2 linked regions of the Sus scrofa genome follow. The protein of the gene in region 2 purifies or fractionates together with the protein of the main gene of each other region. This does not show direct contact. Links are inferred from orthologs where the notes say so. Each region holds a gene or a part of one and is shown on either strand. Other genes may lie near its edges.

Region 1 (3,808 bases), on a different chromosome or scaffold from region 2:
TCAGAGTTAAAAACAGAAGCTCCTAAACATCAGTAATAAAAAAACAACAGCAAAAGCACAACAACAAAAAGAAGACAAAACAGCACTCCCTAAATCAATAATGCTAGATGGGCTTTAACTTCCATTCTAATTCTATTCCTCCAACAACAGCTTCTAGGAACACTGGGAGAAGAACATCAAAGCAAAACTGGGCTCAGGAGAAAAGAGTAGTTATTGATTAGGCATGCCTGTTTCTGGTTTAGGAGTGGGCAGAGGTAGCACATTTGCTTTTCTTGCCCTAAATTCATCAACTACTGAATTTATAAACTAGAGCCTCTGCCAATCCTTCTGTTTTAATCCTCTGTTCATTTTGTCAACAGATATGACTATCACATAGAGCTATGTGCATTTGGGAAGGCATAATTTTTCATATTCAGATCTAACTGTGGAAATAAAATGAAATAACTTTTAAGTGAATAAGCACTATCTAACTGCAGAGGTAACTATTAATCCAAGGGGGCCCATCCACAACCCCCAGGATACAAGATATCCCAGCCTGTTACCTGGCCAAACACAAAGCAGTACAGTGTCACACCCATGGCCCAAACATCCAATGCCTGCAAGAAAAAAAAGAGTTCTGTGTGAGGGGATGAGGAGCAGTAAAAGGTGTCTACAGCTTTTACTGCCCAGCATCCAATCCCCCAGCTCTCCTTTGGGGAACCACCTCTTCTTGACTGCTCAGAACAGGGGCATAGCTGTTCCTGCCCCTCAATCCCCAGCCTCTAGTTAGGCACATGACCCAGGCCTGGCCAATGAGAGCAACACTTCCCCTAGGCACAGTGATTGGCTCAAGGATGAGCATATGGCCCATGCTAGGCCAATCAGAGCCAACCCCAGGATTTTTGCTGGAGCTCTTCAGAAAGAAAAATGTTCTTTTTTTTTTTTTTTTTTGCTTGGGCCGCTCCCTCGGCATATGGAGGTTCCCAGGCTAGGGGTCTAATCGGAGCTGTAGCCACCGGCCTACGCCAGAGCCACAGCAACACGGGATCCAAGCCGTGTCTGCAACCTACACCACAGCTCACGGCAACGCCGGATCGTTAACCCACTGAGCAAGGGCAGGGACCGAACCCACAACCTCATGGTTCCTAGTCGGCCCACAATCTCATGGTTCCTAGTCAGATTCGTTAACCACTGCGCCATGACGGGAACTCCCAAACAATGCTCTTTCTACTGAGGCTGGTAAACTGATAGAAAGTAGCCTGGAGCTGCTGATGACCCATTCACCTGAGGAGGAATTCCAGAAAACAGAGCTGAGAGATGGCAAGATGGATTCCTATTTGAATCCCTGTGTCTAGCCAAGCCTGAAGCCAAACGCACCCCACTCCTCATCCATATGATCTGATGGATTCACTGTTTAAAGCCAGTGAGCTGGGTATTTGCCACTTAAAATGGAAAGGACCCTAACACAGGTAGAACTCTGCATCTCAGGCAGGTCCAAACCTACCTTCCCAGAGAAGATCTTCCGGGTCTCTGAGAGTGACTCGGGCGCCATGAAGGCGGGTGTGCCCACGGTGTTAGAGAGGAGGGCATCACTGCCCTTGAACTCGTTGCTCACACCAAAGTCCGCAATCTTGATGTGCCCATCTTCTCCCACCAGCAGGTTGGAAGGTTTGATGTCCCGGTGGATGATCTTCTGGTAGTGTACTGGGGGCAGCATCAACACAGGATGGGAGAGACAGGGGCCAGAAAAACAATGTGAGGAGCTCCACGTAGCCCACATGGCCCAGAGACACAGGCAGGAACCTCACTGTTCTCCTGAGGCCCCAGGCTCTTCCCAGCCTTCCCCTCCCAAACCTGCTGAACACTCTGTAAGACAAGAGGAGTGTCTCAAAAGAAGCTGTCTTGTTGTCTGAAGGAAGGGGTGAGACACGAGACTGCCCAGAGCAACTGGTAACCACCTGCTATAGTCTAAGTCACATGTGCATGAGAAAGTTGTTGTTCAGCTTGACTCCCAACTAGAAGTATCAAGACTTGTAATAATCAAACATATTTTCATTTATTAATGCCACTACTCAACCTGTTCACCAAACCAACAGTGACTAGAGCAGGTCAATTTGAGGTGCGAAGCACAGAACAGGACTGGAGACTTGGCTAACTGTTCCCCACTGTACGTCAGCCCATGGGAGAGGATGACCCTATGGTCTGGAAGACCCAACTGCGTTTCTGGGGTGGTAGTGGCAGTGGTGACAATGAAATGATGATGTTGGTAACAGAAGCCACAGCTGCCTTTGCTGAATGCGCAGTCAGGGGCCTCTCCCATTCACCTCATTCCAATCTCACAACAATCCTATGTAACAGGCAAAGAGTATGAGTCAAAATGTTTAACAACCGGAAGTAGAAAGTACACCTGCCAATCAGAACTACTGATGTCCGGGCTGACTTCAGCCCTGGTGAGAGATACTTCATGCTATCTAAAGTATCTCTTTTATTTTATTTATACTAAATAAAAATAAACTACATCCTCTCAGGAGTTCCCACTGTGGCTATCCATGAGGACGCAGGTTCAGTCCTTGACCTCGTACTTTACATACAAGGAATGAAGATTCCAGGAGGTCAGCAGGATCCCAGGGTTGCTGGGAATAAAGAATGATGCAAGTGAGAGTCCCTAACAGTGCCTGGTACACATAAGAAAGTGCTGGATGGATGGTCACTATCACTATTTCTCTTCATTATTCTGTGTGGCAGAAGGGTTTCTGCTCATAGTGTGGCCCCAGGAGAGCTATCTGCAACCTTCGGTGACTCTGCATCTCATACAATTCTGTTTCCTGCCCACATCCCTGGGCTCCAGGAGGGAAGTAGGAAACCCTCCACTTCCCATCCACCACCAGGGCATGCTCACCACCCCCCTGGGTGAGGGTCCTCCCGCAGGCCCTGCTTACAGTACTCGATGCCTTTAATCAGATCCTGGAAGTAGAATCGAGCCTGGTCTTCAGAGAGTGGTTTGAGGGTGGGCACTTCCATCACAGGCCTGAAAAGTCAACACATGCATGAAGTGCAAACCAGACGCGCGGGCCTTTGCCCTCTTGCACCACCTCATGCAGCTTAGCAGCTCAGAAGCTTCAGGCAGCCTACCTGCTGGGAATGGGGACACTCACCCTTGGTTGACCAGTTCAAACACTGTAGGATAGAGAAGGGAGTGAGTGGTTACATTGGGAAACTGGAAATCCATCTTCCTCCCCCTGCTCCCCAAGCCCCTCCTACCCCTAGAAACATCGAGAAGCACTGAATCTACTACTGGGGCTGGGGAGAGAAATAGCTCACTGAACCAGAGCTACTGAAGGTTCCGCTTTTCTAAATTCCCATCTGGTGGCTAGGGATCAGAGATTTCTGGTGTCACTGGGACTATACGAGGCTGGCTGTACTTCTAGTCCTCAAAACAGGGAAGGACCCCACGCCAGAGAACACAAAGCAGGGGAACCGGAGATAGTGGACTCTGGACTGCTCCTGGCTCCTTTCATCTTTCCTCTCCTACCTGAGGGCTCCAGAGAAATGACTGATGCTAAACTACATTCTCTCAGGAGCTCCCACTGTAGCTCAGCAGTAATGAACCCAGCTAATATCAATGAAGATGCGGGTTCAATCCTCAGCCTTGCTCAGTGGGTTAAGGATCCGGCGTTGCCATGAGTTGTGGTGTAGGTCGCAGACACAGCTCGGATCCTGCATTGCTATGGCTGTGGTGTAGGCCAGCACCAGCAGCTCTGACTGGACCCCTAGCCTGGGAACTCCCATATGCTTCAGGTATGGCCCTAAAAAAATAAAAATAAACTAC
Region 2 (3,908 bases):
GGCCTTGCTCAGTGGGTTAAGGATCCAGCTTTGCTGTGAGCTGCAGTGTAGGTTGCAGATGTGGCTTGGATCTGGTGTTGCTGTGGCTCTGGTGTAGGCCGGCAGCTGCAGCTCCAATTCAACCCCTAGTCTGGGAACTTCCATATGCTACAGGTACGGCCCCCAAAACAAACAAACAAACAAATCCAAACAAAGAAAAAGCATGACAATAGGAATGGCCAGTGGATTCAGGTGGGCTGCTGGGGGAGCATGACTGTCTTGCTGGGTGGCTCTGGAAGCTCTGCTTTCACCGTGGGCTATTTTCTGTCCAGGGGGTTAGTTTGTGCACACTGACTGTACCTGAGAGGCCACCACGGCAGCACAGGTGCTGCATGCCTGACTGTGTGCCAGGCAGGACCCAGGGGATGTGCCAACTTTTTTCCTCTGAGGGAAACCTTGGGTAATAGCTAGTGAAGGTATAATGTTGTGAGTTGGAGAGGTTTAACTTATGGAGAGCTTTAACTTTCACTGTGAGTGGGGAGAGGTTTTTTTTTTCCCCCTCCTGAATTTTCTATTTATGCGCAATGTAAGCATTAAATTAGACACTGATGGGGACTCAATTTTGAAATATAAATTTCCTCTCCTTCACTTTCCTTGTCTTGCAAAACTGGAGAGCAGTCTAATGAAAGAATAGTCAAAAACTGCAGGGCATTTTTTTTTTTTTCCTCCCTCAAGTTGTCCTTTGTTGTAAATCAGCAGTTTCTCAATGTGAGGCCTACAGCTAGGCCTTCCCCACAGGGCTCACAGACTAGACCTGGTTATGGACGTTAAACTGTATATTCAATAAAAAAGACCCCTTGTTCTCACAGGTTCGTTTTGTAAATACATGTTCTACATTTGGACTGAAAAATCTACACCTATAAAATGATCCTTTCAGAGATTACTTCCTGGCTCAGTGGAAACGAATCTGACTAGCATCCATGAGGATGCAGGTTCGATCCCTGACCTTGCTCAGTGGGTTAAGGATCTGGCCTTGCCCTGAGCTGTGGTATAGGTCGAAGACACCCCTCGGGTCTGATGTGGCTGTGGTTGTGGCATAGGTTGGCAGCTACAGCTCTGATTTGACTCCTAGCCTGGGAACCTCCATATGCCGCGGGTGTGGCCCTAAAAAGCAAAATAAAATAAACCGATCCTTTCATCTGCCTTAGATGGTGGGGCCCCAGATAGGATTTCCATTGGGGGATCGGTGAAAATAACAAAGAGGTTGAAAACCACTGGACTACAAGAGTTCTGGGCCCCTCTGGGTCTGTACATCTATCATTCCTTGAAGTCCTTTATTAAAGAGTGGTTTTCCACTTTCTGCTTCACAATCTTGGGGGGGGGGGCTGCTAAGATGTTCTCGGAGGACTTGGAGGCCAATTAGATCGGAATCCCTGGGGGCTGGGAGGTGGGTGGGAAATGGCATTTTAATATTCGACCTTCCTTAGCCCCGCCATCTTCTGGGCAGTGAGTGGGGTTGGAGTGGGGAGGGTCTGGGAGGACGCTGGAGGTCCCTCCCCAGGGCTCTGGCCGCCCGGGGGCGCCGCGGTACCTTTGACGTGCAGCTGCACAGCACTGAGCGTCTGGCCCGCCGAGTTGCGAGCGGCGCACACGTAGAGGCCGCGGTCCTTGGCCTGGCAGTAGAGCACCTTGAGCACGAAGCCGCCACCGCGGTCGCGGTACATGAGGCGACGGCGGTCGGGGAGCAGCGGGCGGCCCTCCCAGTGCCATTCGATCTCGGGCTCAGGCTTGCCCATCACGTAGCAGCGGAACTTGGCGTGCTTGCCCTCGTTTACCCAGAAGGTCTTGGGCGCACACTTGAGTGGCTCCACCACGGGCTTGGGGACCTCGTCGGGGTCCTCGGGCGGGCTCTCGGGGGGCTGGTGCACCTGCAGCAGCGCGCCGGCCCGCGCGTGGCCGTGCGCGTTGCGGGCGTGGCACACGTAGACGCCCGAGTCCGGCAGCCGCACCGCCAGGATGCGCAGCGCCAGGCTCGCTCCTGGGCGGCCCTCGGTGCGGCCCGGCTCGAGCGCGAAGTGGCTGCTGTCCCACACTTCGTCCAACGCCATCCCGTCTTTCTCCCAGTACAGCGTGGGCTCGGGGAGGCCCCCCACCTGGCATTCCAGCACCACCTCCGCCCCCCGCAGCACCCACTGGGACCGGGGCCCCGTCAGGAACACCGGGGCGCCCTCTCCGGCCCCGGGCGGCGGCAGCGGGCGCTCGGCGGGCTGGGGCTCGGGCTCGGGAGCCGGCGGCTCCAGCACGGTGACGGCAGCCGCTGCATAGGCCTCTCCAGCCGCGTTGCGGGCGCGGCACACGTAAACCCCCGCGTCGGTGGGCAGCGCGCCGCTCAGCAGCAGGCCGTGCTCGGCGCCGTCCGCCGGGAAGCTCAGGCGCTCCGAGGCCGCCAGGGGCTGCCCGCCCTTCTCCCACACGACAGTGGGCGGCGGCTCCCCCAGCACCACGCACTTGAGCTCGGCCTCCGCGCCGCTTAGCACCCGCACGGGCCGCGGGAAGCGCAGGAAGCACGGGGGGCTCCCCTGATCCCCCGAGCCCGCCTTCATCGCGGCCGCGGGAGCCCGGGAGGCGGGGCTCGCCTGGGACCGGGTGACGGGGCCCGCGGAACTCTCCCCTGGCCGCCCGCTCCCGGCTCGTCTCCTTACCCTCGGCCGGGAGCTGCGGCTCTGCGGTGGCGGCGATTCCCGGGCCGGGGACCCAGGGCTCAGGGGGCAGTCCTTCCTGTTTGCCTCTCCAGCGAGGGGCCCCGCAGCCTCCTTTGCCTGCGGCCTGGCTTCCTGCTCCGGAGAGCCAGTCTTCCCAGTCCCCTCCCACAGCCAGGGCCCCTTCCCCTCCTCCCTCCCACCTCCAGCCGCCAGGTCCCCAACCGCCCGCCAGGCTTGGGCCTGAGTGGCAGAGGCGCCTGCAGCTGCCAATCCCAAAAATATTCTCTGATGACACAGCTGGAGGACAAGAGCCCAGACAGGCTCCTCCAGGCTAAGTATAGAGCAGGGGGGACCACCTGCCCCCCACCCTACCCCCAGTTCTAGCTCATGCCCCAGCCCTTCCCCCCAGGACTGGCCCAGCAGCTGCTTGGTTGAAAGGAGACCCTGAAGGTCCGAGGGCCTGGCTTGTCCTGTCTTCCTGACAAATAACTTTGTTAGGAATTGGCAGACCCCAGCTTCCAGACTCCTGTCCCACCTGATGTCACCTCTGTGCTGGATGCTGGGTTGTAACTTTGTGTGTGTGTTGGGGGGGGGGGCAGGGAGTTGTGTGTGTGGGTCAGGTCACTCGGGGTGAAAAGCCTCACCCGCCCCCCCCACCCCCACATTCCTGGCGGGAGTGGGAGATAAGGCTCAGGGCCACAGACATCTGCGTCAGAGATAGGAGGTCTCAATGCCATGGGCAGGGGCAACTCGGACTGCAGGGCGTGGGAAGGGCTGGGAAGACTGGGGTGAGAAAGGTAGAAGAGGGCGGCTGGTGGGATGGGGAGGGGAGATTGGGGAGGCCCTGGGCAGACCCTGACAGAAGGGGCACAGGGCTGGGTGTGGGTTCACCGTTGGCAGGGCCAGGTGAGCTATGTGGCCTCAGCTGCTCCTCTTGCTGTTGGCCCCACGGAGTGGGCATGGCTGCCAGGGCCCGGAGCTGGACCGGGAGCTTGTCCTGGCCAAGGTGAGGGCTCTGTTCCTGGATGCCTTGGGACCCCCGGCAGTGACTGGGGAAGGTGGGGATCCTGGAGTCAGGCGTCTGCCCCGAAGACATGCTGTGGGGGGCTTCATGCGCAGGGGCTCTGAGCCCGAGGAGGAGGATGTCTCCCAGGCCATCCTTTTCCCGGCTACAGGTAATGAGGGTGGGGAACTGGCACCTTGACTTTGAGAAACAGTGTGGCATAC

The links.
Region 1: the proteins of OBSL1 (region 2) and CAMKK2 purify together in Homo sapiens (affinity purification with mass spectrometry; 4 studies listed by BioGRID and IntAct, with this or other methods). This does not show direct contact. The link is inferred for Sus scrofa from reciprocal best matches to the Homo sapiens genes OBSL1 and CAMKK2.

The regions. Positions count from the first base shown.
Region 1 is NC_010456.5:31,348,814-31,352,621, reverse strand, and holds part of CAMKK2 (calcium/calmodulin-dependent protein kinase kinase 2), read right to left. Parts: intron 3,157-3,808; coding exon 3,135-3,156; intron 3,008-3,134; coding exon 2,919-3,007; intron 1,684-2,918; coding exon 1,484-1,683; intron 597-1,483; coding exon 543-596; intron 1-542. UniProt on the Homo sapiens protein: Calcium/calmodulin-dependent protein kinase belonging to a proposed calcium-triggered signaling cascade involved in a number of cellular processes. Isoform 1, isoform 2 and isoform 3 phosphorylate CAMK1 and CAMK4. Isoform 3 phosphorylates CAMK1D.
Region 2 is NC_010457.5:121,578,450-121,582,357, forward strand, and holds the start of OBSL1 (obscurin-like protein 1), read right to left. Parts: upstream 2,866-3,908; 5' UTR 2,583-2,865; coding exon 1,571-2,582; intron 1-1,570. Other genes in the region: INHA (inhibin alpha chain), read left to right, coding at 3,501-3,687. UniProt on the Homo sapiens protein: Core component of the 3M complex, a complex required to regulate microtubule dynamics and genome integrity. It is unclear how the 3M complex regulates microtubules, it could act by controlling the level of a microtubule stabilizer.